4 linked regions of the Elephas maximus indicus genome follow. The protein of the gene in region 1 interacts with the protein of each later gene in a pairwise test. Links are inferred from orthologs where the notes say so. Each region holds a gene or a part of one and is shown on either strand. Other genes may lie near its edges.

What was found.
Region 2: the proteins of DISC1 (region 1) and ITSN1 interact in binary tests that used the Homo sapiens proteins (3 or more experiments, as listed by UniProt). The link is inferred for Elephas maximus indicus from reciprocal best matches to the Homo sapiens genes DISC1 and ITSN1.
Region 3: the proteins of DISC1 (region 1) and CCDC136 interact in a two-hybrid assay, tested with the Homo sapiens proteins (2 studies listed by BioGRID and IntAct). The link is inferred for Elephas maximus indicus from reciprocal best matches to the Homo sapiens genes DISC1 and CCDC136.
Region 4: the proteins of DISC1 (region 1) and tubulin beta-2A chain interact in a two-hybrid assay, tested with the Homo sapiens proteins (2 studies listed by BioGRID and IntAct). The link is inferred for Elephas maximus indicus from reciprocal best matches to the Homo sapiens genes DISC1 and TUBB2A.

Annotation. Positions count from the first base shown.
Region 1 is NC_064842.1:32,964,913-32,972,465, reverse strand, and holds the start of DISC1 (disrupted in schizophrenia 1 protein), read left to right. Parts: upstream 1-4,542; 5' UTR 4,543-4,570; coding exon 4,571-4,850; intron 4,851-7,553. UniProt on the Homo sapiens protein: Involved in the regulation of multiple aspects of embryonic and adult neurogenesis. Required for neural progenitor proliferation in the ventrical/subventrical zone during embryonic brain development and in the adult dentate gyrus of the hippocampus.
Region 2 is NC_064836.1:27,968,559-27,976,531, reverse strand, and holds the start of ITSN1 (intersectin-1), read left to right. Parts: upstream 1-4,965; 5' UTR 4,966-5,200; intron 5,201-7,973. UniProt on the Homo sapiens protein: Adapter protein that provides a link between the endocytic membrane traffic and the actin assembly machinery. Acts as a guanine nucleotide exchange factor (GEF) for CDC42, and thereby stimulates actin nucleation mediated by WASL and the ARP2/3 complex.
Region 3 is NC_064826.1:21,273,120-21,280,721, forward strand, and holds the start of CCDC136 (coiled-coil domain-containing protein 136), read right to left. Parts: upstream 3,010-7,602; 5' UTR 2,938-3,009; coding exon 2,880-2,937; intron 2,152-2,879; coding exon 2,044-2,151; intron 239-2,043; coding exon 1-238. UniProt on the Homo sapiens protein: May play a role in acrosome formation in spermatogenesis and in fertilization.
Region 4 is NC_064819.1:43,839,687-43,847,397, reverse strand, and holds the start of tubulin beta-2A chain, read left to right. Parts: upstream 1-4,707; 5' UTR 4,708-4,747; coding exon 4,748-4,804; intron 4,805-6,032; coding exon 6,033-6,141; intron 6,142-6,476; coding exon 6,477-6,587; intron 6,588-7,341; coding exon 7,342-7,711. UniProt on the Homo sapiens protein: Tubulin is the major constituent of microtubules, a cylinder consisting of laterally associated linear protofilaments composed of alpha- and beta-tubulin heterodimers.

The sequences.
Region 1 (7,553 bases):
AATGACCGTATATTCTGGTGGTTTTTCAGAATTTCCCTATATCTTGTTGCAAGGTACCCTTCTTCAGACTTTTGTCACATTATATGCCTTTGTGTCTCCAGAGCTTGACCTGGTCTGTTATACATAGTATGTGTCAATAAATACTTGTCATTTTAGTGGTAGTAATATCACTCACCAGGTTTTCCTTTAATATCACTCATCTGCCCCAAAACCTTCCATAGCTTCTTACTGTCTACGGATGTAGATCTTAACCCTTCTTATGTCACAAACTCTTTGATAAGTTGATTAAAGTTATCTTAAAAGACAAATAAAAAACAGATGGAAACAAAATTTTGCACATATTTTCAAGGGTTCCATGAACCACCGAAATCATCCATGGACCTCTACAGGGGTCTGTGGGCCCCAAATTAAGAATAAGTCACCCAAAAGTGACAAGCCCATATTCCTAAGCCCAATCAAGCATGCTCACATTCATTCTGTCCCATAACACACCAACTTTTAAGCACAGCTATGGGTTTTCACCCCCATGAGTCTGTCAGTTTGTTGTACCGTAGGGGCTTGTGTATTGCAGTGATGCTGGAAGCTATGCCACTGGTATTCAGATACCAGCAGGGTCACCCATGGAGGACAGATTTCAGCTGAGCTTCCAGACTAAGACAGAATAGGAAGAAGGACCCGGCAGTCTACTTCTGAAAAGCATTAGCCAGTGAAAACCTTATGAATAGCAGCAGAACATTGTCTGATATAGTGCCGGAAGATGAGCCCCCCAGGTTGGAAGGCACTCAAAAGATGACTGGGGAAGAGCTGCCCCTTCAAAGTAGAGTCGACCTTAATGACACGGATGGAGTAAAGCTTTCGGGACCTTCATCTGCTGATGTGGCACGACTCAAAATAAGAAGAAACAGCTGCAAACATCCATTAATAATCAGAACATGGAATGTATGAAGTATGAGCCTAGGAAAACTTGAAATTGTTAAAAATGAAATGGAATGCACAAACATTGATATCCTAGGCATTAGTGAGCTGAAATGGACTGGTATTGGCCATTTTGAATCGGACAGTCATTTAGTCTGTTATGCCAGGAATACAACTTGAAGAGGAATGGTGTTGCATTCATCATCAGAAAGAACATTTCAAGATTTATCCTGAAGTACAACGCCGTCAGTGATAGGATAATATCCATACACCTACAAGGAAAACCAGTTAATATGACTATTATTCAAATTTATGCACTAACTACTAAGGCCAAAGATGAAGAAATTGAAGATTTTTATCAGCTTCTGCAATCTGAAATTGATTGAACACGCAATCAGGATGCATTGATAATTACCGGTGATTGGAATGCTAAAGTTGGAAACAAAGAGGAAGGATGTATAGTTGGAAAAGATGGCCTTGGTGATAGAAACAATGCTGGAGATCGAATGATAGAATTTTGCAAGACCAACGACTTCTTCCTTGCAAATACCTTCTTTCACCAACATTAACGGTGACTATTTTTTTTTTTTTATACACATGGACCTTGCTAGATGGAACACGTGGGAATCAAATCAACTATATCTGTGGAAAGAGATTATGGAAATGCTCAATATCATCAGTCAGAACAAGGCCAGGGGCCGACTGTGAAAACGGACCATCAATTGCTTATATGCAAGTTGAAGCTGAAACTGAAGAAAATCAGAGCAAGTCCACGAGAGCCAAAATATGACCTTGTGTATATCGCACTTGAATTTAGAGGCCATCTCAAGAATAGGTTTGACACGTTGAACACTAATGATCAAAGACCAGACGAGTTGTGGAATGACATCAAGGACATCAAACATGAAGAAAGCAAGAGGTCCTTGAAAAGACAGGGAAGAAAGAAAAGACCAAGATAGATGTCAGAGGAGACTCTGAAACTTGCTCTTGAACATCAAGCAGCTAAAGCAAAATGAAGAAATGATGAAGTAAAAGAACTGAACAGAAGATTTCAAAGAGTGGGTCGAGAAGACAAAGTAAAGTATTATGAAGACATTTGCAAAGACCTGGAGACAGAAAACCAAAAGGGAAGAACACGCTCGGTGTTTCTCAAGCTGAAAGAACTGAAGAAAAAATTCAAGCCTCAAGTTGCAATAGTGAAGGATTCTATGGGGAAAATATTAAGTGACGCAGGAAGCATCAAAAGAAGATGGGAGGAATACACAGAGTCATTATACCAAAAAGAATTAGTCGATGTTCAACCATTTCAAGAGCTGGCATATGATCAGGAACCGATGGTACTGAAGGAAGAAGTCTGAGCTGCTCTGAAGGCATTGGCAAAAAACAAGGCTCTAGGAATTGATGGAATATCAACTGAGATGTTTCAACAAATAGATGCTGTGCTGGAAATGCTCACTCGTTTATGCCAAGAAACATGGAAGTCAGCTACCTTGCCAACTGACTGGAATAGATCTATATTTATGCCTATTCCCAAGAAAGGTGATCCAACCGAATGTGGAAATTATAGAACAATATCATTAATATCACATGCAAGCAAAATTCTGCTGAAGAGCATTCAAAAGCCACTGCAACAGTGTATCAACAGGGAACCACCAGAAATTCAGGCTGGATCCAGAAGAGGATGTGGAACCAGGGATATCATTGCTGATGTCAGATGGATCCTGGCTGAAAGCAGAGACTACCAGAAGGATGTTTACCTGTGTTTTATTGACTATGCAAAGGCATTCGACTGTGTGGATCATAACAAACTACGGATAACACTGCGGAGAATGGGAATTCCAGAACACTTGATTGTGCTCATAAGGAACACATACAGAGATCAAGAGGCAGTTGTTCAGTCAGAACAAGGGGATACTGAGTGGTTTAAAGTCAGGAAAGGTGTGTGTCAGGGCTGTATTCTTTTACCATACCTATTCAATCTGTATGCTAAGCAAATAATCCAAGAAGCTGGACTATATGAAGAAGAATGGGGCATCAGGATTGGAGGAAGACTCATTAACCCCCTGCGTTATGCAGGTGGCACAACCTTGCTTGCTGAAAGTGAAGAGGACTTGAAGCCCTCATTAATGAAGATCAAAGTCCACAGCCTTCAGTATGGATTAGACCGCAACGTAAAGAAAACAAAAATCCTCACAACTGGACTAACAAGCAATATCATGATAAATGGAGAAAAGATTGAAGTCAAGAATTTCATTTTACTTGGATCTACGATCAACACTCATGGAAGCAGCAGTCAAGAAATCAGAAGACGCATTGCGTTGGGCAAATCTACTGCAAACAACCTCTTTAAAGTGTTGAAAAGCAAAGATGTCACCTTGAAGACTAAGGGGTGACTGACCCAAGCCATGGTATTTTCAATCACATCATATGCATGTGAAAGCTGGAGAATGAATAAAGAAGACCGAAGAAGAACTGATGCCTTTGAATTGTGGCGTTGGCAGAGAACATTGAATATATAATACTGCCAAAAGAATGAACAAATCTGTCTTGGAAGAAGTACAACCAGAATGATCCTTAAAAGCAAGGATGGCAAGACCGTGTCTTACATACTTTGGAGAAGGACATCGTGCTTGGTAAAGTACAGTGTCAGCGGGAAAGTGGAAAAGACTCAACAAGGTGGACTGACACAGTGGCTGCAACAATGGCCTTCAGCATAGCAACCATTGTAAGGGTGGCACAGGACCTGGCAGTGTTTCGTTCCGTTGTGCATGGGGTCACTATGAGTCGGAACCGACTCCACCGCACCTAACAACAACGCGTTTTCGCTCACAAAATTCTTACCATTGAAGGGACCTTAAAAAAAAAAAAAAGGGACCTTAGCCCTCCTTTAATTCTAGCAAGATCCTTCCCATCCCTCCAGAAGTCTTACTGACCCTTTCTCTTCACCACACACTCTCCCACTTCTGAACTTCTGCAACACCTTTGTGCTAAGCCCCCGGCACTTGGCATATTCTGTTGTATGATGCTATTTTTTACAGGAACATGTTTCGTCTTCCTGACCGGAGGTAAGCTCTGAAGAGCAAGAAACCATTTCTGGCACTTCTTTGCTCCCACTGTCCTGTAGCGGGTGCTACATAAAGGTGCTGCAACAGCCTCTTTGAATCAGTCAAAGAGAAGCAGCGAAGGAGGTGAGTGTAGCTGGTCTAAGAGCTTGGCAAGGATTATCATCCTGGAACGGAACCGCCTTACATTGGGTCACGGATCTGGAAGCAACCAATCTAGTGTTGAACGTGGACTCACAGCTCATTCTTCGAACAGCTGCTACCACTGATACCTTTCCTAGTGTCACCTCGCATCTCTCCCTTTTCCCCTCACCTTTTTTTTTTGTATAAGTTAGTTCTCTCATTCATCCATCGACTCCCACTCATGCATCTGGGGGCGCCCTCGTGTACACTTAGGGCCTCACAGCTTCTCCTTCGCTGTGACACCCGTCCTCCCAGCGCACTTCCCCACTTGTCTTCCTCCAGAAACTGAGCGAGAGTAAAAAGGGAGTTTTCCATCCAGGTACAGGGAGAAGGGCTGGGCCCTGGTCCGGCGCGCCCGCTGCCGCATTCTGCGTGAGTGTGGGTGTGTGTGGGGACGAGGGCTGGGCAGGATGCCGCTGGCCGTAGAGGAGGAAGCCGGCTCCCCTTCTTTGGCCGCCCTTTCCCCACTTCCCTCCCAGCTCGGCTTGGGTCTCTGGGGGAGCCGGGGCGGAGGAGGAAGAGGTCGAGGAGGAGGAGCCGGCGACCTGGAGCCCACCCCCGCGGCCGCTGGCAGCAGAGAGGAAGCGACGGGGCGGCGCGGCCGGGCCATGCTGGGCGGGGGTCCCCCGGGCGCCCCGGGTGGCTGGGCCGGGCGCTGGGAGCGACCCGGCTCCGGGAGCCAAGGCGCAGGTAGGAGAGCGGCGGGCCGGCCCCGGGCGGTTCCCCAAGCGACCCCTCCGCGTGCCCCGTGGCTGGGCCCAAGGAGGGACCCCGGAGGGAAGAGTCGGAGAGCGCGTCGTGACCGCCGAGGGAGTCATGCGGGCCGGGTGCTCCCTGCTAACTCGGGTTCCGTTCAGCCCTCTCGAGGGAGGGTGGGAGGAGAACTTGGTCCCGCGTGCCGCGCCCCGCGCCGGACCAGTATGTGTGCGCTCAGGGCGAAGCGGAGGCCCGGGTACGACGGCGCGTCAGGCCCGCTAGTACCGCGGCGAGGCGTGTCCGACGTGTACAGGGGCGAGTTTGTGTTTCGCTCCTTCACAGGCACCGCCGCGGCCTGAGCGCGCCCTTCGCTGGCGCCCCGCACTCGCCGCTGGCAGACGCGCGCGGCCGGATCCGACGGGCCCTCCTCCGCGCGCACGGGGCGCGCTCTCGCCGGTCCCGCCGGGAACCTGGAGGGAGGAGGTGGGGGTGGAAGGAGGAATGCGGCGCTGGCACCGCCCCAAGGGCCTGCTCTGTCAGTGATTTCACCGCCCACTTCCGATTTCGAGGCGGTAACGCCAGGATCTGAGGTTCTTTCACTGTCCCCCACGCTCCTCCCTCCGCCCGCGTGTGACAGTGTCCGTTTCCACTGTCAACTCTAGTGATAACCCTGAAGTCGTTAAGGTGGATGGTTGCTTTTCAAGAATGACCGGGCTTGTGGACGTCTCACTCTTCAAATAGATGCAAAGGAATTTGAGGATCTCCGGAGATTTAGAGTCAAAAGAGCTGCGTGGTGGTTTTGCTGGATCAGGAAAGAACTTTACACGAGTCATGAGTCACGTAACATCTCTGAGCCTGGGTTTCCTCAGATGTAAAAGGAGAGAGCTAATACCTGCCCTCCGTGGCTCATAGATTGGTGTGTGTGAAAGCACTTTGAATGTATACCTGTTTCACAAATGTCAGTTGGACAGCCAAACCATACCAGACCCATTGCCATCGAGTTGATTCCGACTCATGGTGATCACGTAGGAGCTTGCCCGGTAGTGTTTCCAAGGAGAGGCTAGTGGATTCAAACTGCTGAATTTTTGGCTAGCAGCAGAGCTCTTAACCACTGTGCCACCAGAGCTCCAGTTGGGCAGCACCAATGTCCTAATAACTGGTGTTTGGAGACAGTTTGCCTACATTCCAATCCTGGACTTCCTGTGCCTCAATTTCCTTATTTGTTAAATGGGCACTCTGACCGTACCTCCCTCATAGGGTTTGTGAGGTTTCAATGAAATGACTAGGTGGAACACCTAGCCCAGTGCTGGAGATATACAGTAAGCTCTCAAATAAACAAAAAACAAAACAAAAAAATTTACTTTTACCACACTCAAATAAACAAAACAAAACTCCTAAGCTGTTATTTTTTCTAAAGCAAAATAATTTGAAGTCATGTGGAAATATCAGTTTGAGTCGATTAAAGTATGAATAGCAGGATAGTTGAAAAGCAATTCAGTTTTATCACATTCAGGGGCAGAGGCTGTAAATGCAGTCATTTGGGGGCACTTAATCTTTGCAGAAGTAGACTGTCACATCTTTCTCCCGGGAGCAGCTGGTGGGCTCCAGCAGTTCTACTGTGTCCTATAGGGTCACTAGGAGTCAGAATTGATTCTGTGACAACAGGTTTTTTTGTTTTGAGGTCACGGTTGAGAATCTGTGCCACCAAGCAAAAGAGCCCTGGACAACCAAAAAAGCCAAAGCAAACCCATTGCCATGGAGTTGATTCTAAATCATAGCGACCCTATAGGACAGAGTAGAACTTCCCCATAGGGTTTCCAAGGAGAGGCTAGTGGATTCGAACTGTTGACCTTTTGGTTAGCAGCTGAGCTAGCGCCTCCTTTCTGGGCAGTGTGACCTTGAGCCTCACTTTTCTCATCTGTTTAAAAAAAGATAAAAGAAAAATGGGAATAGTAATTATGGCCTTTTGTACTTAAAGAGGTGCTGTGAGGATCAAATGAGGTAAAAGATCTGAAAGCACCCTGTAGACTGAGTTGCCACACAAATATAAGACATTAGTTTCTAATAGGGAATAACAATACCAAAAAAATCCAAACCCGTTGCTGTTGAGTTGATTCCGACTCATAGCAACCCTATAGGACAGAGTAGAACTGCCCCATATGATTTCCAAGGAGCGCCTGGTGGATTTGAAAGGCCAACCTTTTGGTTAGCAGCTGTAGCTCTTAACCGCTATGCTACCAGGGTTTCCAGGAATAAAAATACCTGCAATTTTTTATAAATTTATAATGTGTTAGGCACTCTATTATGAATTCCTTTGATAACATACTCCCCCAAAATGAGGTGGGTGTTACAATCCTCATTTTCCCTATGGCAAAGCTAAGGTTCACGGTCACCCAGCTTTTTCCCAAGGTCACATAGTTATTAAGTGTAGAGCTAGAATTAGAACTCAGCTGTATTCTCAGTCACTGGCTGCACTGAAGTTATCAGGCTAAGCCATGGTTCATAGCAGGCCTGTGTTAGATTATAGATCATGGTACATCATACTAATACAGACCAGTTGCTGTCATTTGATTCTGACTCATGATGACCCCATGTGTATCAAAGTAGAGTTGTGCTCCATAGGGTTTTCAATGGCTGATTTTTCAGAAGTAGATTGCCAGGCCTTTCTTTCAAGACACCTCTGGGTGAATTTGAACC
Region 2 (7,973 bases), on another chromosome or scaffold:
CTTCAGGCAGAAGCATAAAAAGCAGTTCCTAAGAGAGGATTTCAGGGTGCTGCCTATCTACACAACAGCGGTTTCCAGATGTGCCAGTCTAGCACAGTGGTTCCCAACAGCGGTTTCCAGATGTGCCAATCTAGCACGGTGGTTCCCAACAGTGGTTTCCAGATGCGCCAATCTAGCACGGTGGTTCCCAACAGCGGTTTCCAGATGTGCCAAACTAGCACGGTGGTTCTCAACAGCGGTCCCTCCTGAATCTCAAGAGAACTCATCACCCTTCCTCTGATAGCTTTACTTTTATTATCTGCTCATTTACAAAATATATTTTTCCTTAAGAGTCCAAGATTTCTTAAATCAGGCACTCCCCTGCCAGTACCTGTGTGTAAATGCTTACTTAATTTTCCAATTCACTATAGGATCTTGGAATGGTGTTGTGCTGGGTGGGTTGAGGAGATGGGATGGTCCTTATTCCACAGATCGGGAATATCTAATATCTGGTCCAGTTACTATTCAACATAAGGCCATTTAACAAAGTATAATCCAGAAAAATAAAAACATAACTTGCACTTACATTTTTGAATTAGCACCTTATCTTCTCATATTGTACTACTGGAGAACAACGAGCCCAATAGTATTACAGAATAGAGCCAACTCCCTTTACTCTGATTTAATCACGTGACATGGGAACTGTAGGTGGAGGTTGGGAGTAGGGAGATAAACGATTGAGGAATTTTTGTTACTTTCTACCACACTCCTCTCCCTCCTTTCCATTCGACTTAACCACGGCAGTCTTCTCCACCTACTGGAGTCCCTGGGTGGTGCAAATGGTTAACCTGCTCAGCTGCTAACTGAAAGGCTGACGGTCTGAGTCCACCCAGAGGCACCTAGTAAGAAAGGCCTGGTGATCTACTTCCAAAATCAGCTATTAAAAACCCTATGGAGCAGTTCTACTCTGACACACATGGGGTTACCATGATTCAAAAGTGATTCAATGGCAATTGATTTTTTCTCTACCTACTATTATTGCGGAAACCCTGGTGGCATAGTGGTTAAGAGCTATGCTTGCTAACCAAAAGGTTAGCAGTTCGAATCTACCAGGCGCTCCTTGGGAACTCTATGGGGCAGTTCTACTCTGTCCTATGGCGTCACTATGAGTCAGAAATGAGTCGATGGCAACGGGTTTGGTTTTTTGGTTTACTATTATTGCAGTTTGTAAATGCTTATTTAATTTTCGAATTCACTATAGTATCTTGGAGACATTGCTGGTTCAGTGGTAGACTTCTTCCCTTTAATGGGGGAGACCTGCCTTGATTCTGGGCCAACGCACCTATTGTGGAGCTACCACCCATCTGTCAGCAGAGGCTTTCATGTTGTTATGATGCTGAACACGTTTCAGTGGAGCTCCTAGACTCAGATGGACTAGGAAAAAAGGTCTGGCAATTTAATTCCAAAAATCAGCCAAAGAAAGCCCTGTGGAGCACAGTTCTACTCTGACACTCATGGGGTGGCCGTGCAGCTAACAGCAACAGGCATCTTGAAGAATCCATTGTTTGCTTCAGTATAAAATATGAATTGTAATGTGATTAAATATTTACCAGTATGTTCAGAATCAAGAAAAGATAATTTTCATAAAATGTATCATATTTATAATGTACAAAAATGGAAGAAAATTATTTTGTAAAATACCATATCTTATCATGTGTGGATATGTGTATTCCTGCTCGTCTACTTAAAAACTCCCCTTAATTCTTTGGAGCTAAGAAAAGCATCGACAGCACTGGGTTTTTTTTAAGAAAAGCAAAGACAGCTTTTCTAATGTTGTCTTTGAAACATTCTATGTAAAGTTCACCGTTTAGGGGCAAGAAAACCTTCATGTTTATCAATTAGAAAAAAGAGAGTTCACCAAAAACAAAAAACACTGTGATTCCATAGTGAAGTATTTTAAGAATTTTCAAGTTCACCCACCTTCCTTCTTTGAGGAAGGACAAAAATGAATCAAGACTCATTACTGACCAGGGTACAGCCCTGGTCTAGAGGCCTAAGTGCTTCCTTGAGGTTCTCAACTCTTTTCTTCAATCCAGAATTTTCATTTTAAAATCACAGTACAGAGAGTTGTAAATCTATCAAACCACTTCAGTGAGAGGTAGCCTGATTTTGTGGGGAGCCCTCTCCATTTCAAATGTGAACATCTCATCCCCTCCCATAATCTGGAGCAGGAGCATCAGCAAAGTGAAGCTAGTAAGAATACTCTGCAGTGGTTGTAGACAGGATTTATATGTCACAACTGGCCTAAGTGAATCCTAGCCCCCTTACTTACTAGCTGTATGACTCTGGGCCACTTTTAACCTTTCTGGTCACCATGAATCAGAATTGACTGGACAACAATCTGTTTGGTTTTTTTTTGGGGGGGGCGAGGGAGCCTTAATTTGGTTCCTGGGTGGTGCAAATGGTTGTCAACTAACCCAAAGTTTGGCAATTTAAACCCACCCAGCAGCATTGTGGAAGGCATGAAAACCCAAAAGAGCAGTTCTACTCTGTAACACGTGGGGTTGCCATAAGTTGGGATGGACTTGATGGCAACAGGTTCGGTTTGGTTGAGTTTTTGGGCTTTAGTTTTCATACCTATAAAATAGGTATAATAGTAGTAATTACTTCACACAGTTGCTGTGAGGATTAAATAATACCTGTAAGAGCCCTGGTGGCGCAGTGGTTAAGAGTTCGGTTGCAAATCAAGAGGCTGGCAGTTCATATCCACCAGCGGCTCCTTGGAAACCCTTTGGGGCAGTTCTACTCTGTCCTATAGGGTAGCTGAGTTGGAATTAACTGGACAGCAATGGGCACCAAATTAGCATTCAATATATTTACTTATTTCTGTAAATTGGGAGAGAACCTCTAAGGTAGCTCTTCAGCTTGTGTCACAAAGAGACAAAAAGTCTGGTTATGAGCAACCTGACCTTTCAGTTTCTGCAGTGGCTTATTATATCATCTGGATCTACAGGGACGGTCCAACACAGCAGCCACTAGACACATGTGGCTACTGAGCACTTGCCTGGTCGGAATTAAGATGTGCTTTAAGTGCAAAAGACTGAATTTCGAAGATTTAGGAAAAAAAAAAAAAAACTTCAGCTTTTATATTGATTACTTATTGATATGTTTTGGCTATACTGTGTTAAATGAAATATAAAAAAACCAAAACCAAACCCAGTGCCGTCGAGTTGATTCCGACTCGTAGGGACCCTATAAGACAGAGTAGAACTGCCCCACAGAGTTTCCAAGAAGCGCGTGGAGGATTCGAACTGCCGACCTTTTGGTTAGCAGCTGTAGCACTTAACCACTACACCACCCAGGGTTTCCAAATGAAATATACTACTATATTAATTTCACGTTTTTCTTCCCACTTTTTAAAAATGTGGACACCAGAAATTTAAAGTTACCTAAGTGGTTCGCATTGTATTTGCATTGGATAGAATTGATGAGGCACCTTGGTACCCATAACAGGACTGGCAGCTCCTAGGAGGAGGTTCTCAGGCCTGTCCCCAGACAATAGGTCTCTGCACTTTGACAAAATCCCCAGGTGATTCTTCCGCATTGCTCCGGGGTATTCGGCTGTTTGGCTGGATGAAGAGAGCAAATCTGGCCCTAAAGCCACCTTCCTTTCGGTAATTGATTATAGAAGGGGTACAGGGGAAAGAAGAGTTAGGGAGAAAAAGCAAGGGAGATACATGCAACCTGGGAGATAGACGAAACCTGGGAGATAAGTAGAAGGGGAGAGAGATGCAAACGGAGATAAAACCTACAATTAAAAACCCATACAGGGCCAGTAAGGACCCCAGTGGCGCAGTGGTTAAAGCGCTCGCTGCTAACTGAAAGGTTGGCGGTGCGACCCCACCAGCCGGGCGGGAGAAAGACGTGGTGGTCTGCTTCCGTAAAGATTACAGCCTTGGAAACCCCTATGGCGCAGTTCTGCTCTGTCCTGCAGGGTCGCTAGGAGTTGGAATGCACTCGACCGCCATGGGTTCGGTTTCCTGGTATTTTAACGCGCCAGGAAACTGTCCGCCAAGTTTTATCCGCTCCTGTGCGGCCTCGGCTAAGCTAGGCCTGGACGTGAGCACGTCTGAGGTGGGGATGCGACGCGAACCACCACCCGCCCAGAGCTGGCGGTTCCGCTCGGTGTCCTTCCACCTTTCCCCCAAAGCCCTGACACCCAAGACACACATCGCCTTTCCCGAGGCTCACCTGTCTCCGGGCGGCCCCAAAGCCCTGCAGCTTAGCCACCGCCACCTTCAAGCCCTTCCGCAGAGAGCCCGCCCCTTCGCTCCACGCTGCTGCTCCTATTGGTCTGTTAACTCGTCACTCCTGCAGGGCTGGGCACGACCTCCGGAGGTTGCGCAGAACGCCATAGCAACCGGATTCGGAACTACATCTCCCGGCATGCCCGCGCGGGGGCGGAGCCAGGCCCCTCACTAGGGGCTACCAATAAACGGGGGAGGTTTTATGCAAATTTATGTTTAAAGACCACACCCTTCCTCAGTCCCACCGTATTCCTGACCACTTTCCGTAACTAAGTTAGTTGAACGCACCCTATCTAGTATCTGGAAAGGCAATGACAGATGCACTGAAATCGTGGATCTAAACTCCATAAGCCCCGACACAGAAATCACAGACCAGAAACCTCCGGTTACGACTTCGCGGAGGAGGTGGGGGTGGGGAGGCAAGAGACCTACGCCCGCCCCATTCGCGCATGTTGATTGGCTTATTCGGCTGTCACTCCGTCCTCCTCCACCCTTTCGGCTCCTCCTCCTTCGGGCCCGCGGTGGGCGGAGCTAGCGATAGGGGGCGGTGCGGAGGGTTAGGCCCGTTCTTCTGATTGGCAGGCTGTTTGTCCCCGCCCGCTTATGGGCGGGGACGGAGGGTGGGTGGGGCGGGAGAGGCAGCCGAGGGATGTGAGGAGATAGGCGGGAGAAAGGAGCGAGGGAGCGAGGGAGGGAGCGAAGGAGGTAGAGAGCAGCGGCGGGCCAGGGGAGGGAGCGCAGCTTGGTTGCTCCGTAGTACGGCGGCTCGCGAGGGAGAATCCCGAGCGGGCTCCGGGATCGACGGAGAGGCGGGCGGGGATGGTGAGCGGTGCTGCGGCTGGTCAGCGCCTGCCCGCGGCGTGTGCGCTGCACTGATTGCCCGGCGCGGCCGCGCGGATCCGCCTGGAGATGAGGTGAGGAGCAGGCGGGCGGAGGGCGGCGGCCTGGGCGGGGGTCGCGGGGTCGGCGCCATGGCCGCCCGGGGCGCCCTCCCGCGGGCCGGCGCGCGTCCCTGGGGCCGCCCTGCAGCGCCGCCGCGCGCCTCGCCCTTCCATCCTCCCGGGCGGCGGCCGGGCCGGCGTGGGCTTGCGGGGCGCCTCCAGCGCGAGGCCCCCTCGGCGGCCGGCGGTCCTTCCAGGGCTGACCCGGGCGCCCTCGGCCGCCGGAGCGCGGGGGCCGGCCCAGCCTCGCCCCTCGCCGGCGCCGCCTCCCCGCGCCCACGGCGCGTCTCCCGTTGGCGGCGCCGGCTGCCTGCATGATCCGCCGGTGAAGGGCGCTCAATGCCGCGCGGCCGAGCCCGACTGCCGGGCCGCCCAGGGGCGCCGCATCGAGCGCGGCCCCTCCGCAGCCCCGGCCGCCGCGCCTCCCCGCGCAGCCCTCGCTCCGGGTGGGCGCCAGGCCGGGAGGAGACGCCGCGCAGCCCCGGGAAGGGGGCCGCGGGGAGAGGCTGCATCTCGGCTGCCGTTTGCCCGGGGCGCGAAGACGGTTCGCAGGTGACGTTTCTTGCGGGCGTCTTCTGTGTTGGCATTCGGACCGAGGAAGCGTCTGCTTTTGGAGAACAGATGAGTGGCTTCTCCTTGGGGTTGGAGGCAATGGAGGTTTTTGATAGCCTCTTAAATATGAGAAGTTTCCTTTAGAAGTTTGCCATCGTCGGTGCTGCACCGATCCGAAATTTTAAATACATGCAGGCTTTTCTGGCCAGATGCGTTTCTTTGTGCGATTATCTATTGGCATCCTCCCCTAAAGGATTTTCGTGGACGAAACATGCAAATAATAAAAATCGAGGGCAGCAAAAAGCACAGATCCTAAAAACAAGTACAATAACAAGCAAATGTCATCTGGAAAATTTTCAGTTCTGTTAGCAGGGAGGCAGTTTTACTAGTGCCGTGGCACCTCTGAAGAAACATGCCGAGAGATCTGGTTACGGATTTCCTAGTGGACGGGGTCTGAGGGCAGGTCAGCCGGTTTGCGTGGTGCGCTCTTAACCCCTAAAATGTGCTGCATGCGTCTGCCTGGGTATCTTTATTTTTAGATGATTTTAAGGTTGAGAGTGCAGAAGCTTAAACAGCTCAAAGTTATCTGAGAACAAGATACTGTGTAAGAAGAGACACTTTTTGTGATTTTTAGTTTTTTTTTTTTTTGGCTGGTCTTGAAATGCGTTGTTTTTGATGAGTGTTTGCTTATCACTAAGACATCTTTAAAAAAAAATTAAAGTTCTTTCAGCGTTAAAATTATTTCAGCCACCTTTAAGTGATTCCAGTAAGGGGCATTTCTGACAGTAGGTTAAAAAAAATTGGTATTTGTCTAAAGAATGTATCTCTTGAAATTGCCGAGGCACGTGGTACCTTCGCAAAACTATTATTATTCTGCCTGAGTAAGAGAGGAAATGAACACATTTTTAATGTACTTTGGAACCCCGTGGATTGTTCAGATAGATACTCGGCATTGTGAAATAGGGCATAAAATGACTGGTAGCAAGCTAGTTCCTTGAAAAGTTTTTCACTCTTAGCATATTTATTCTCTGTTGGCTGGCAATTTCTTTCTTAATGCTTATCTCTAATATTGGTATAGAACTCTGCATGTGTTCACCATTTCCCCAAATGCCTGGGTAGAGACAAACTCTCAAAACTCGTGTAGGAAATTAAGAAGAAAGTGATGGTAAATTCCTCTAGTCTTAGCCATCTTTTTAATTTGTTAAATTTGTGAATTATAGAGAATGAATTATACGAGGGTTGGGTTTACCTTACTCAGCTCAAATCCCCCTGCGTAGCACTGTCTTGAGCCTTTTGCATGTGATCATTCCCTTCTGAAGGGCTCCATCACTGGCTGGTTGGGTTTCTCAAATTCTGGACCTCAGATCACAGACATCAACAATGACTGAGGGTTATTGTTTCTGTCAGCTCATCTCAGAGTTAGATTGCCTGGGCGTGGGACTCCAGCATTGGTATTTTCAACAAGTTCTCTAGGGCTCTTTCCTGTGTGGTAAAGTTGGAGAACAACTGGTATTGTGCTTCCTTGTCACTGAGTGTCTCCTGGATTGTATGCAGTTCTTTATGACGACATCTTTAAGTGGATAGCAAGATTTTCAAATGCTAGGATGTTTTACCATAGGCTGCTCATGAAAGCCTATTGATCGTGACCTTCACCTGTGTAATATACCTGTCCTCCAAGTTTCAGAAGGGCTGAGACTTTGGCTTACCACTGTGTCCTCAGGGCCTAGAATAGTGCCTGGAGGAAAGAGATCAAATATTTGTTGAGTAAACGAGTGACCTGCATTGCATTGAGACCAAATTTGAAAATCTTGTGAAATTAACCTTGTCACTTAGTTTCGTTGTTGTTAGGTGCCATCAAGTCAGTTCCGACTCATAGCGACCCTGTGCACAACAGAACGAAACACTGCCCAGTTCTGAGCCATCCCCACAATCGTTGTTACGCTTGAGCTCCTTGTTGCAGCCACTTGTGTCAATCCACCTCTTTGAGGGTCTTCCTCTTTTCCGCTGACCCTGTACTCTGCCAAGTGTGATGTCCTTCTCCAGGAGCTGATCCCTCCTGACAACATGTCCAAAGTATGTAAGACGCAGTCTCGCCATCCTTGCTTCTAAGGAGTATTCTGGTTGTACTTTTTCTAAGACAGATTTGTTCGTACTTTTGGCAGTCCATGGTATATTCAATATTCTTTGTCAACAC
Region 3 (7,602 bases), on another chromosome or scaffold:
TCGTCCTCGTGCTGCCCCGCCAGTTCCCTTGTCTCCTCCAGCTCTGCCACCAGCTGCAGCACCTGAGCCCTCAGCTCCTCCAGCTCTGTCTCCGTGAGGCTCAGGCCCCGGTGCTTGCTGACAGACAGGGAGCCCATGCTGCCACCTTTGTGCACTTGTTCTTCCTCTTCTTCCACCTCCTCTTCCACCTCTTCTTCCTCCTCTTCCTCCTCATAGAGAGCTGGAAGTAACACCTCCCCTAGGAGAGACACCCATCCCACTAGGGGGTCAGAGCCACCTTACTTGCAGCCCTTTGAGGGCCCTCGAACTCATTATCCCAAGACACAGATGGTTTAACAGTGCCACCTGGTGTCCCCCAAGGAGCCCTTGGGCAGGCCTGTGCTCCAGTGAGAACTCAGGTGTGAGGGTCAAGTTTGGAGGCAGCCCCTCCCCCTCACAGGCCCTCTGGACCAATGTTACACTTGGTGGTCTCCTACTACTACCTTCAGGCAAACGGAGCAGGCTGGTGCTGGCTCAGCCATATGGAGCTTGCACAAGGATACCTGGTTCTTCTAGTCCTGGCCTCTGGGTCGTGGGGCAAGTAGTTAAGAAATAATTCAGACATTGGCTACGTCTTCAGGCCAAATGGTGCAAGGGTTAGTTTAGGGGTTTGTGGAAAGTTAAAAAATTAACCAGGTGGCTTGTGAGAAATTAGCCTTTCCATGGTAAGAAAGGAGTCTCTGGGATGTACGAATGATTAACGCATCCAGCTGTGAACTGAAAGGTTGGTGGTTTGAATTCACCCAGAGGTACCTGGGAAGAAAGGCCTGGCAATCTACTTCTGAAAAATTAGCCACTGAAAACCCTGTGAAGCACAGTTCTACTCCGACACACCCAGGGCTGCTATAAGTCAGAGTCGACTTGATGGCAACTTTTTTTTTTTTTTAATACATAGTAAAAAGCATTACATGAAAGGAGGTAGAGAAAGAAAATATCACACAAAATGATTCTAAATGTTTCACTGGACAAACAGTGGGGCCCTTACAAAGGTATATTATCAAATAGCCTTTTTTGAAGTGTTCTGCAAAGTCTACCTTCCTTTTCCCTGTGGGTGGCATGAGGTCCCCCCTGTCCTACCAGGGCATCACGGGGCTTCTCCTCCTGCTGACCACAAGGTGGTTCTCAGGGGAAGTCTTAGGCTGGACTGGAGTGTAAAAGGAAGTCCATCCTTTAATGCATTCAGAAACTGGGGTGTGTCTGTCCCCTCCTCCGGCTGGTGAGCCCCCCCTCCTTGCTGCAATGCAGTTCCTCCAAATAGCAAAATCTTGCCTGGGTGGCAACTGCTTGCTTTGTTTTAGAATCTGACTCTCTGGTCTTATTTTCTCCGATATCAGGAGCCTGAGGTTCACCTGGGGCCCCCTGTATCACCTGTCCTCCATGGGGGGAGCAGGGTTGCCCACACTGAGTGTGCACAGGGGCCTGGCGACACTTCACAGAAGTCCTGGAAAATAAACCAGCATCCTTCCAAGGGCATGGGCTGGCAGCCACTGCCAAGTCACATTGAGTTTAGTGGGGAGATGGGTGGTGGGAGGCTGGCCTTCTCACCTGGCCCTGCTAGGCCCTGTCTTTTCAGGCAGTAAGATACCAGAGAGAACCAAAGCCACAAGCTTCATCAGAAGTGAGCCGTGGTGGCATCAGGAAGATAGTGCACATGCCCACTTGCCTGCTTTTTCAAAATAAGGGCGCTTTGGGTTTAGATCTGACAGGGAGAACAGCCCCTGCTGAAAGGATCCTTTGACGTTCTGTCCAACAAGGCTTCTTTCTCTGTCTGGCAGCTCCCCTGGGACACACAACCTGGTTAGATGGGGACTGGGGCACCAAAGAGATTAGCCCAGGACTTCCCTCAAAGCCTGGGCCCTGGGGAAGGGTACGCTCAGACAAGAGAGGAGGGGGCTGAGATAAACTGAGCGAAGGACTGTTTCCTGGCTGGGAGCACTGAGGGTCAGAGGGAGGAAGATGGAAGGAAAGAAAATGGGGGTGGGGGAAGCTTTTGAGAAAACTCACCCTCCATAGCTTGCATCCCCCGACGTTCCAGAGACCCCCAGCGTTGGCCTTTCTTCCTCTCACAACCCTCAGATACTTCAAAGGAGCCTAATGTGGTTACTGTTGCTCCTGTGAACAGGCAGAGAGGAAGGGCTGGGGGATGCCAGGGGCGGGCCTGGGGTGGTGGGAGAGAAGGTGACGTGCCTTCCAATCCTTCAGCCCTGGGATTTTTAATCCCAGTGGAGGTCCCTGCCTCCCTCTGCCCAGCTCTGAGACTCCCCTCTCTCAGCCAACGGGACCCCCGCCTGCCTCGTCAGCACCCCTGTTCCGGGCTCCTCTCCTAGCTCCGACAGAAGGAAGGTGTGTGTATATTTAGCCGGCAGGGGACGGGGAGGAGGTGGGCCAGGATGCAAGACAGAGGGCAGGAGCCTGTAAGGATGCGGCCGAGATGGTGAGGCAGCTCGGGGAAGGGGCGGCAAGTGATGGGGGCTGTGGGAAGGGGTTGCGGGGCTGGACTGCGCCGCTCCGCCCCCACCCCTGCATTCTCTTTCCAAATCCCGTCCTCCCCCCTCGCCCCGCGTTCAGAAGCCTCCGGGGCCGGAGGGTGTGCAGGGTCGGACCCCCTTCTCAGGCCGGCGAGGTGAGCTGGAGAGGGCTCCGGGGAGGGGCTGCCAGGAAGGGCGCGGCCGAAGTGGGAAAGATGGGGCCCGGGCTGGGTGGGGGGCCGGGGCAGAGGGAGGGAGACTCGAGGCCGAGAGGCAGGGTGTCCTGCAGGGAGAGAGGGTCTGGGGGCCTAGAGGGAGGGGGACCGGGAAGAGGAAGGGGGGTGGTGAGGAGTGAGGGCGGGCGGTTCTGACCTGGGCCCGGGCAGCTCCAGCCCGCGGCTCCCGCGCCGGCCCCGGCGCCGGCCTCCATGGCCACTCCGCCGCCGCGCCCGGAGCAGACGCCGCACCGCGAGGCCGGGGACCGGGGCCGGTGCGCAGGAGGCGGTGGGAGGGCGGGCAGGGGCGGGGCCTGGCGGCCACCTGACGCCGCCGCCCGGAAGCCCGCCTTCCTCCCGGCTCCCGGACCCGGACGGGCGGGCGCGCGGGGGTGGGGCGACCCCCGACCCGCTGGGTGCCTTCCTGGTGCCGGCACCGAAGGCAGTGGGAGGGGCCGGCCGCATCGCCGACGGGAGCAACTGGCCGCTTGAGGCTGGTCCTGGGGGTGGGTCCTGCCCCGACTGGGCGGTGCGCTGGGACCCCGCTGCCACCATGTGTCCGGGCGCGCAGTGATGGAATGGGAAAGGACACAGATGGACCAGTGCCCCTGGCCTGTTTCCTCCTAGCGCGCAAACACGACACTCCCTTCTCTCCTCACCCGCAGGGCCGGCGCTCCCCACCCCACAGTCGGCGCGGACCCCGGCCTCTGGCGCCCCAGGCCAGCGCCGTGGCCTCTCGACCCCGGAGCCCTGAGGGCAGGAGGAGGGAAGCCACGGCCTGGGATATGAAACTGTCCCCGGACCCTGGCCCTCTGGGTTTTCCTCGCCACCCCCTACCAAGCCTGAGCCAGTAGCCCACTTAAGGAGAGGTCCCCTCCGGTTACCCTACGCAGCCCGAGGCGCCTGAAGACCTCCTCTCTCCTCTGCCCTGCCTCCCCACCCCCCGCCCCTCATCCAATGGGCTGCGAGCTGAGACCCCCATCCCACGCTGCCCCGCTGCCTGCTCAGAGTGGGCGCTGTTTTTCACTCTTGTAAAAGGGCGGTTTGGAAGTCCAGAGGGCTTATTTCACTTATTCATTCATTCATTCATTCAGAGACTGTCACCGTGTGCTCGTGTATCTTGACGATGCGTTTGTCCTCACACTTCTGCAGTTCTCAGCCCGAAAGAAGTGGGGACACTTGTGCCTTCGTTTCCTAGGGCTGCCTTAACAAGATACCACAAACTGGGTGGCGTAGAAGAACAGACATTCGTTATCTCACAGTTCTGGAGGTTGGGACTTCGAGATCAGGGTGTTGGCAGTGTTGATTCCTTCTGCAGCTTTGAGAAGTGATCTGTTCCAGACCTGTCTCCTGGCTCCTGGCAGCTCCAAGATTTCCTTGGTTGCAGCTGCAGCGTCACATGTCTCCCTGTCTCTGTGTATCTTCTCCTTTATAAATCATGTTGGATTAGGACCCACCCTACTCCAGTAGGCGCCTTGGTGGCACAGTGGTTAAGAGTTTGGCTGCTAACCAAAAGGTCAGCAGTTTGAATCCACCAGCTGCTGCTTGGAAACCCTATGGGGCAGTTCTGCTCTGTCCTGTGAGTTGGAATTGACTCCACTGCAATTTTTTTTTTTAACTCCAATATGACCTCATGTTAACCTAACTGATAACACCTTCAAAGACACTATTTCCATAACAGGGTCATATTCACAGGTATAGGGATTAGGACTTCAACATATCATTTTGGGGGACACAATTTAACCCATAACGACTTGGGAACTAAGGCTTCCCAATATATCTGGAAAATTGTTGGGAAATTCCTAAGCCGGGGCACGCACCAATCCCTTCTCTTGCATATCCACTCACAAGGTCATGGGCATATGTTGTTTGTGTTCATCCCCACTGGTTCCCAGGTTCACAACCCTCCACCATGATGTTCTACATGGAAGAAGCCCTTCTTCACCTGGACACCCCCTACTTACCTTTAAGTGCTCTGTTCCAGAGTCACGTCTAGGCAGCCTTCCCTGACATTCACCCCAACCCCACAGATGCCCCTATTGTGCCATCCCACGGTCCCTGTCATCCTTCCTCTGTCACAGCACCAGTCACTCACTCTGGATTGACAAGACCAGGTTTTCACCTTTCTGTCTGCCCAATTTCTTGAAGGTATGGAAGTATCTCCATCACCTGTGTGTCGCCAGCACCAGACAAAATGCCTGACACTTAAAGGTAAATTTTCCAACCATACAGCATATTATTAAAAATATGATTTCACTGATATGCAGTTAAATGTTGCCTGTTAACTCTTTTGTCTATCCCCACCCCACCCCCAGCCTGGTACTCTGAGAAACAATGAGACATCAAAGGTGTTTCACCTGCTCCCCAGAGGACAGGATTCCACCCCAGATCCTGTGGCCAAGGTGATCTGGTCTTGGGGAAAGGCAGTTGAGCAAGCCCACCCAATCTCTTCAGGAGGGTCTTTGCAGACATTAGACCTGTCAGGATTTGAGGAGCGGGACACTTGTCAGGGGGTGGAAAGGGGCCGGCAGTAGGCAGGGGGAGGGCATAGAGGACCTGGGCATACAGAGGCCAATGCTGGAAGCCAGTGGTTGTCCCTTCTGCTCCGGCACAGCTCCTGGTTCTGGCTCAGCCTGTGGGGTCTGGCTAGCAGTTGGCCTTGACTGCTGACCTCTTGACTGTGGAGGGAGGGACAGGGGAGGCTGTAGTTAACTGTGACACCCAGGCTTTCCTCAGGGAGCTCTGATCCTGAGTGTCAGGACTAATCTCTCATTTGGTCCTGGGGTGCATGTCACCATTCACCGTGAACTTGGGGAACATTCAGAGGAGACCTGAACCAGTCTATCCCCAGAACCCAAATGTGGGTAAATCTTGGCAGGACAGTACTGAGTGGAGGGTGGGGGTGGGGGTGGGGGCAGGAGGAAAGGTTTTAGCAGGTGTCGGGGTGGGGTGAAATGTGGTCCCGGGATGACTCTCTGAAGGGCTGGGAGTGGTGGGGATGTTAGCCAGGTGATCAGCTGGGAGGGAGATGATCTGAATTAATCCTCCTAATCCCTGGAACCAGGACTCAGCCCCTCTCCTAATCCCATCTCAGTGGATCATCCTTTCTGAGGATTGATGCAGCCATTTATCCTCCGTTACCCTTATTTCTAAATGCCTAGATCTTTTCATTAAAAAGAAAAAAATAGGAATGTTTAAACCTTCAAGACACGTACAGTACAGAATGACATAACATCCGTGTATACACCACTGAAATCCAACAGTTGTTACTATCTTGCCACATCGGATTCAGATGGAGCCCTTCCATTTATGTTTTCAGTTTTACTTTATGTGTATGCATCCACAAACAATACATAGTATTGATTTGTATGTTTTAAAAAACCTCTATAAATGATGTTATATTGTATACCTTCTTCTGCAAACTTCCTATTTTTCATTCAATGCTTATTTTAGATTTATCTGTGTTGACATATTGCTCCAATTCATGATTTTTAATTTTGGAGTCTACTTTATTGTTTGAATAGACCACAATTTATTTATCTATTCTTCTGTTAAAGGACGTATAGACTGCTTCCAGTTTTCTGTATTATAAACAATGTGGAAATTCCAGCAGTGGAATCTCTGGGTCAGAATACATGCATCTTGACCCTTTCAAGACCCATGAAGCATATGGTATCCCGTCCACTTTTTATGCCTCTGGAGTTCTTTTAACACATTTAGCCTCAGGGTGGGAACCTTTTGAAATGCATGAAGCTCAGAAGTCCTGAGTGGGAGCCTCATTTTTGTGTAAAATGAACATTGTCTTAGGTGATGCCTCTCAGATACATGAATTTTCTAAACTTTTGACAGGTTTGCCTTTTTTGTCTGTGAGATAGGCCTCCTCACTGTTTCCCAGTTACCATGTTCTGTGAGAGTGTACTTATTGTGCGAGTAAGCTATTGCCAGGCTTCATTCAGTCCTAGTGGCCATTTTCCACTTCATGTCATTCATTGTTTCCAGGGTTTACTTGCTCCCTTCTTTTCCAGCTTCTGAGCGGTAAATAATGCCTTTCCCATAAGGAATAATTCTGGGTAGTGGTACTTTTCAAGAAATTGGAACTCCTATAAGTTATTCTTACCCTGCATTCAGTCTTAGGGCCCAGTCATTACTTCCATGTGTAGCGGGTAGAATGCACCACTGTGAACGGGTCTGCAGTGTTCCAGGGCAGCTGTTTCTGCTTCTTAGCTGTTAGTACTGCTTTTGTTATAATGAAGAATACATAGAAGTGATAATTTTCCTGAGATTCAAATTCCTTGAGTTTTATTTATTTTGCCTGTATGTATTGCTTTTGCAATAATGAAGAAAGCATTGTATTGCTAATTTTCCTGAGATAAAAAATCCCTTGGCGTTATTTATTTGGGCGGTAAGTATACTTTTGCAGTAAGGAAGAATGCTTTGTACCGTGTTTTTAAAAAAGTTTCATGAAAAATAAAAAGGCTAAGAAGAAGGAGACTAGAATAAGATGTATGTGCAGTCATTGCCAGATGCCTTCATGTTGTACAAATGTTCAAGAAATAAAATTTTAAAAATTAAAAAAACCTGATTTGATCATTGACTCATATCATCAGGATTTACGTCATCCAGGGGCTGCTGGGACACATGTGATCCGGATACTGGGTATCAGAATCCACAACTCATAAGAAAAACTCCGAATTGGTCCTTTAATCAACGTGCCTTCATTAGTGAAAACATGTAATACCAACAAAAAATTTAAAGGAGAAAAGAACTGGGTTTTGAAATCACTGTTGTCCAATTGCTCTATAAAGTAGTTGGACCAATTCATTACTAACACTGGCTTTAGGGGCCCTGGTGTCACAGTGAAGCCCTGGTGGTACAGTGAT
Region 4 (7,711 bases), on another chromosome or scaffold:
ATTAAGGTATGCCTGATCCAAGCTATGGTATTTTTAATCACCTCATATGCATGTGAAAGCTGGACAATGAATACGGAAAGACGTAAGAAGAACTGATGCCTTTGAATTATGGTGTTGGTGAAGAATATGGAAACCCTCATGGCGTAGTGGCTAAGTGCTATGGCTACTAACTGATCAGCAGTTCGAATCCACCAAGTGCTTCTTGGAAAATCTTTGGGGCAGTTCTACTCTGTCCTGTAGGGTCACTATGAGTCGGAATCGACCCAACGGCAATGGGTTTGGTTTGGTTTTGGCAAAGAATACTGAATATACATGGACTGCCAAAAGAACTAACAAGTCTGTCCTGGAAAAAGTACAGCCAGAATGCTCCTTAGAAGCAAGGATGGCAAGACTCACGTACTTTGGACATGTTATCAGGAGGGACCAGTCCCTGGAGAAGGACAACATGCTTGATAAAGCAGAGGGTCAGTGAAAGAGAAGAAGACCCTCAAGGAGATGGATTAACACAGTGGTTGCAATGATGGGCTCAAACATAGCAATGATTGTGAGGATAGTGCAGGACCAGACGGTGTTTTGTTCTGCTGCAGGGTTCCTATGAGTCAGAAACGGATCGATGGCACCTAACAACAACAACAAATTGAGGTATAGCTTTAATAGGAACTTGGCATCTGACTAAGAATAGCCTTCAGCTTTGAAAGGTCCAGACGGAGTAGTGTAATAAAGGTGACGCATACTGGGATACGACACATCCCAGAAGGCCACTGAAAATATTATTCTACATTTACTCTAAATTACTACTTTCACCTTATGCAAAAATCTATAAACTTCAGTGGGTTGAACATTCTAAAATTAAATTAAATTGGGATTCAGACTATTTATACTTTAGGTAGTCTTTTAAAAAGGAAGCACCTTAAACACTTCAAACAAAATTCTTCCATCTTCATAAAGAGATGCTTTTATTTATTAGAAGCCTGACGGTGCTTGCTCCCAGTCCGAGGCCAGGCGGGGCTGTTTATGTGAGTTTCGCAGTGAAAAGAAGTTGAGGGTGCTTAGTTCCCTAGACCTTGTCTGAGGTCACAAACCCATAGCAAGTGAGGCCATTTTATTGCTGGGAGGGTTCTTGGGGTTTTGTTATCTTGCAGATGAAACAGATGTTTGCAAAATTTCAGGATCCCATTACTCGGACCATCTAAATATGTGTCAAAGAGATCATTTCTGGCACCTTTAGACATGGGCTCAGTTAACAGTAGCAGCCACCATCATGACCCTGTGTACTCACAGGGCACTTACCACTGGACCTCTCTGCCCAGAACCATTCCTACTGGAGGAGGAGAGGCTTGCTGAGAAGAGGGTGACATTCTAAAACTTTTGTGAAAGGCAGACAGGGCTGAGCCTTGGCTGACCAGGAATTCACTCCTTCCCTTTCTAGTTTGAATTCTGTCATCATCACCCAAATGCCTGCAGAGTCAGGGCAGTGAGCTCAAATGCTGTCGGTGACATCAGATCCAAGGCCAGAAATGACACGTGGCAGGAGGAGGTTCTCCTGGCCACTTGCCATCTTCATCACTCTGTCCAGCAGCCAGAGAGCTGCTCTTCTCTAGAAACAAACAGACAAAAAATAGACCAAAGGTGGGAGTGCGGGGAAACAGCTTGTGGCAGGATTTGTCCCCCAGAGCTCTTCAGAAGCCTGCACTAGGGGAGGGCAGAACAGCTGGCTGCATTTCCTCCTGTTATTATCTGCTGTGTCAGCCTGGTGGTGGTGTGCTGTCTGCCCTCCTGGGGGAGCAGCAGGGCCCACCGTTGGATGACTCACCCTCTGACTAGGCAGGCGTGATTTTAAATGTGCATGTGTGTCCCTCTGATGACAGAATCACAGATGTCAGGGTGGGTGCTGGGGACTGGGGGCGGAAAAGTGAACAGGTTGGGATGGAAGTCGGGTAGCAAGAGGAACCAAATGGCAGGAACGCTTGCCGTCAGCAATCCTTAATAACACTGTCATTTACTGATCTGCTGTGTGTCCTCCAGGTGCCCAGCTCCAGACACTGCCTCTCACCTTCGAAACACAACAAAACAGATTTCCATTCTTCAGCTGCAGTAATAGAGACTCTGAGAGGTAGGAGCTTCCATTCTTCAGATGCTGTAAGAGAGACTCTGAGAGGTAGGAGCTAGGAAATAGCAGAGCAATCACATTCCATGCCGGTAGTGTCGCATCACCCATTTAGGGAAAGTGCCCACCTGTTAAACCATTGCTGTCGACTCATGATGACTCCATGTGTGTCAGAGCAGAACTGTGCTCCATAGGGTTTTCAACGGCTGATTTTTTGGAAGTAGGTCACCAGGCCGTTTTCTGGGGCGCCTCTGGGTGGACTTCAACCTCCAACCTTTCAGTTAGCAGCTGTTTGCACCACCCAGGGAACCCGCCCATATGTTAGGGGCTTCCGTTTCCCCAGTATCATCCCTTCCAGGTCTCGTCCTCTGCTCCTATGTGACCCCAAATTTCCACCTTGAATTATAAAACATAGGCCAAGAGACAAATGTCTCCAAAAACTCTTCGTCGGGCCATGTCACCAGTGAAGCTGCCTGGGAGCAGGTCATTCTATGTAGAGGCTGGTCCTGAAGAGCCAGAGATATGGGAATTGGGGTGAGGAGAGGCCATGTCAGAAGTAACTGGGACAGCGCCAGTGGTACCAGCTGTCCAGGGAGGACCAGCAGGGGAGGACAAAACCTGGAGGGAGCAGAAGAGAAAGCCCAGGGAAACCATCCCCACCCTGACAGGAAGCTCCAGGGTGCCCACCAGCCAGCTGAGCTGCAAGGGTCCTGAAGGACTGGCTTCCAGAAGCGGGCGTGATGAGGTCCTGACTTTTTCAAGTTTACACCTCTGATATACGTCAAGCATTAACGTGGCAAATAGGATTAATATGATTTATAATTACAGCTTCACCTTGGGTTTCATGGGGCTTTTTTCCTCCATAAACATAGACTGCTTTTGTATGTAGCTTCTGATTTCCTGCTCACAAAGCCTGCTTTGGGGCATCTATAATTATCTTCATTTTACAGTTGGAGACACTGGCCCCAGAGAGGAGAAGATGGAGCTCTGTGAATCCAAAGCAGTTCCTAGGCCTCTGCTCAGCCAGCCCACTGCTCACAATTACCTTTGAGGATAATTAAGGTCAGCTTTTGCCTCTCCCTGTCCAAGCCTTTCAAACTCACCTGGGCTTTCTACTTACAGAAAGAAAACCTAGATTCCTTCACTTTCTAGCTTTGTGGCTAGTCAACCCCTCAAGCTTGGGTATTTGAGCTGTGAAATTTGGGGCTAATAATGGAGCCCTGGGGGTGCTGTAGAAACCCTGGTTGCATAGTGGTTAAGAGCTATGGCTGCTAACCAAAAGATTGGCAGTTCGAATTCACCAGCCGCTTCTTGGCAACCCTATGGGTCAGTTCTGTTCTATCCTGTAGGGTCGGTAGGGGTCAGAAACCACTTATAGACACCTAACAAGAACAACAATAATGCTTACTCAGCAATGGCACTGTTCAGCAGAAACATAGCTCCAGCTGAGAATGTCAGCCACATAGGTAACTTAAAATTTCCTAGTTGCTATACTTTAAAAAGTTAAACAAGTGAAATTAATGGCAGAAATGTATTTTATTTAATAAACCCATCCCAAATATTACCGTTTTGATATGTAATTAAAATAATCAGTAATGGAATCTTTTACATTCTTATAACTTACTGTCCACTGTCTATGAAACCAGGTGGTATTTTGCACTGACCAAAAATAAAACAACAAAAAACACCGTTGCCGTGGAGTGGATGCTCTCTGACAGCACACCTCAGTTCGGACTGGCCACCTCTCAAGCGCTCACTAGCCCTGGATGACCAGTGGCTGTCCTGTTGGACAGCGTGGATGCCAGGTTTCTGTGAGCATGAGGCGACATCATGCGTGAGGCAGTTACGTGGGCTGACACACATGGCTATTACACCCCTGCCCCTCTTACACACACACACACACACACAGAATTTTCCACATTCAAGTCGCTTTTACAAGGATCCAAGACCCCGAAGCCAACATCTGACAACCCCGCGTCCTGGAGGCCTCGCTGCACCTCCCAAGCACACCATGCTCCTTTTGCATGAAAGCTTTAAAAGCCGCCCCCTCCTAACCCCAGCCTCGGTTCCTGGCTCCAGGGACCCGCCCGCTCTCCAGCCCCATCAGAATGGAAGGGAAACCAGGCGCGGAGTCCAGATCCCCTGGACCCCTTGCAGGGCCCCTTCGAGAGCAAGTGTAGGCCCCACTGAGAAACACAACCCCGGGCCCCGGGTCCCCGGTCTTCAGCCCCTCCGGAGCTAACGCAGGTGGAACTGAAGCTGAGGGGCAGCTGGAGGGCCCGGCGAGGGGCGTTGGCCGCGCCCAGGATGAGGAGGGGGCGGCAGTTCGGGTCCGAGGACCCGGCACCGCCCTTGGGCCATCGAACCGAGATCTGGGCGCCCCTTCGGCCCGCGGGCCGCGCCCCGGCTCCCAGTCGCTGTGCCGCAGTCTGCCCGCGCCCCCGCGCCCTGCCGCGCGCCTGCCGCTCCGGGTGACCTCAGTGCTGGCGGGCGGGCGGGGGCCGGGGCGGGACCGGGGCGGGCACGGACGGGGCCCCACCCCCCCAGCCGGGGTATAAAAGGCGGAGCCCCGGCGACGTGCCTGTCTCTGCGCTCCCCACCCTTCCTCAGCGCAGTCTCGGCTCGTTTTGCAGCCGCACCATGCGTGAAATCGTGCACATCCAGGCGGGCCAGTGCGGCAACCAGATCGGCGCCAAGGTGGGCCTGCGCCGGGGAGGGGGCTGGGGTGGGGGGGACAGAGGATACGGGCCGAGGCGGCGGGGCGAGGCGGGACACCCGAAGGTGCGGGCAGGAGCTTAGGCCAGGGCGCGGGGAGACCGAGGCCCCGAACCCGTAGGACTCCGATGGGCCCAGGAAGCCGCCTAGCCACGGAACCATGTGCCTTTTAAGTAGAGGCCCTTTTAAATTTCCTTCGACCAACCCTTCTGCCGGACATAATTGGCATCCTCCCAGGGAATAGGAGTCTCAGTAATCTGGATAGGGGCTGCGGTCATAGCCAGTGCCCGCAATGAAGAATTGGTGTATTTTTGTCTGCCACTGAATGAAAAAAATGCAATGTCATTGGAGTGACAGATGTTATAGAGGGTTCTCTGTAGGGTCTCACAGAAGAGGATGTTAGGTACATTCTCTCAGCATGGGCGCCATCTAGAAAGGACCGTCTGTACCATGAGGGTCCTGTTTGGTGTCTTCAGAAGACGGGTTGATGTAACGCGGCTGTACATCACCAACCAAGTGGGAACGAGGAGCCGGCCTGGTGCAGGTGTGGGCGCACCTGTGCAAGATCCAGGTCTCCTTCAAGACCGCCATATTGCCCCCTCCCCTCCCCCGCAGCCTCCCGGCCCCTTGCCCCCTCACCCCAGCATCGCCCTCAGGGTGGCCAGCTCCTCCACTCCCCCCCCCCCGCCCCAGGCGTCCTACCTCCCGCCTGCCCTTCTCCCCCAGCCCCGGGTGTGGTCTGTTCCTGTCTGTCAGAGGCATCAGTCTGTGCTGCTCAGGAGGTCTGGGTGGGGTTCCGTGGCAGCCTGGACCAGCTCACCTGGTTGTCATCCTGCCAGGACCACCTATTAGCAGGGACGCCCCGACCTCTAGCCCTGTCTGGGGGGGAGGGGGCAGACCTCCCGCCTGCACTCAAGGCTGCCTCCAGGAGGGGACTGCAGTGCCCACCTCCTCCTGCAGGGCCACTCCCTGCTTTCAGTCTGTCGCCATAATATGGCTGATGTGCTGCTGCGGATTTCCCAGCCCCTCAGCAGCAGCAGCTGCTGGAGGAAAAGGGAGCCTGCAGCTATTTTGTCTCTGCCCAGGACTCACTTGCTACCTGACCACTATGACCCCTGCTTAAGGAGGAGGGAGGGAGAATACAGCCATGCTGAGTGACGTCCAGGAGGCCACACTGTCATGTCATTCCTTTTCCTTCTTTTTATTTCAGTTTTGGGAGGTCATCAGTGATGAGCATGGTATCGACCCCACTGGCAGTTACCATGGCGACAGTGACTTGCAGCTGGAGAGAATCAATGTCTACTACAATGAAGCTGCTGGTAATTGAATTTTTTTTTTTTTTTTTTTTTTGTCTAATCAACCTTGCTTTCCATACTGTGGAAACGTATTTAGAACACACTCTTGCATTCATTTTAATGCCAGCTGCTAAGAAATACACTTTATCATTCCTTAAGACTCCCGTGTATTTGACATGGCTGGACATGCTAAGCATATCCTCTTTGAAAGCAGAAAAACTCTATTCTCCTACTTTTAGCTCAGCTGCTGGAATTTTCTCTGACCAACCCTGATGGGAAAGCCAGATGGATGGGCCACAGCCTTCTCCTGTGATCCCTTTGCTAGCTGCAGCTCTAATTCCAGCTTTTGTCCTGTGCAGGTAACAAATACGTACCTCGGGCCATCCTGGTGGATCTGGAGCCTGGCACCATGGACTCAGTCAGGTCTGGGCCATTTGGCCAGATCTTCAGGCCAGACAACTTCGTCTTTGGTACGTAGCCGTGATCAGTTGGAACTGACTAAATGATTTACCTTCTTCCTAAAACCATGAACACCACAATGCTGAGTGGTATGTGCTCAGGTGGATTGTGTGTCCACAGACATCCTGAGTCTTGGGCTCATCTGTCCAGTTCAAAGTGACTGCTCTCTGGCCACTCTCTATAGCTCAAAGAAAGATTTAGCTTGTGGTGAGCTGCCATAGTCTTCCCATTAAACCTCTGAAGGTTTAAGAATAAAGAAGAATGCAAAAGTTTCAGACAATAATATTTCATAGGCTAGTGGTGATTTCAGAGGACCAATGACAACAGGTAACCATCTAAAGAGACCAAAGCCAAAAAAAAAAAAGAAAAGGTTAGGACCAGAAGTTGAGACAACTGCATAGAAACACTCTCTGCTGTCTGATCATCTTGTGCCTTCGCCCCTGCCTATTTAATTCTATATAACTCAATATTTACATGAGGTCTTTGTCCTCTCTTCTTAAAATTAAAAGCAGCTGGGTTCATTAAACATCTCTGTTTTTTCAACTAATAGCCTCACGTATATGAAACTTGCTTTTTACTTTATTATGATCCCTGGTGTTTCTGAGGGTGAGTGAGAGCATCAAAAACTATTTCTCTAGGTAAAAAGGGGGCATCAAAAAGAACCTGCCACTCAAAGAATAGTCTCACTTTCTCTTCCAAAGTCAAATGACAGAATTCAGAGCTCCTTACATTTTAGTGTCTAATCTTCTGCTTTCCCTCTGGCAGGCCAGAGTGGTGCCGGCAATAACTGGGCAAAGGGCCACTACACAGAGGGAGCAGAGCTGGTGGACTCCGTGCTGGATGTGGTGAGGAAGGAGTCTGAGAGCTGTGACTGTCTCCAGGGCTTCCAGCTGACCCACTCGCTGGGGGGTGGCACGGGGTCCGGGATGGGCACGCTGCTCATCAGCAAGATCAGGGAGGAGTACCCCGACCGCATCATGAACACCTTCAGCGTTATGCCTTCTCCCAAGGTGTCAGACACCGTGGTGGAACCCTACAATGCCACCCTCTCTGTCCACCAGCTGGTGGAGAACACCGATGAAACCTACTCTATCGACAATGAGGCCCTGTATGATATATGTTTCCGCACCCTGAA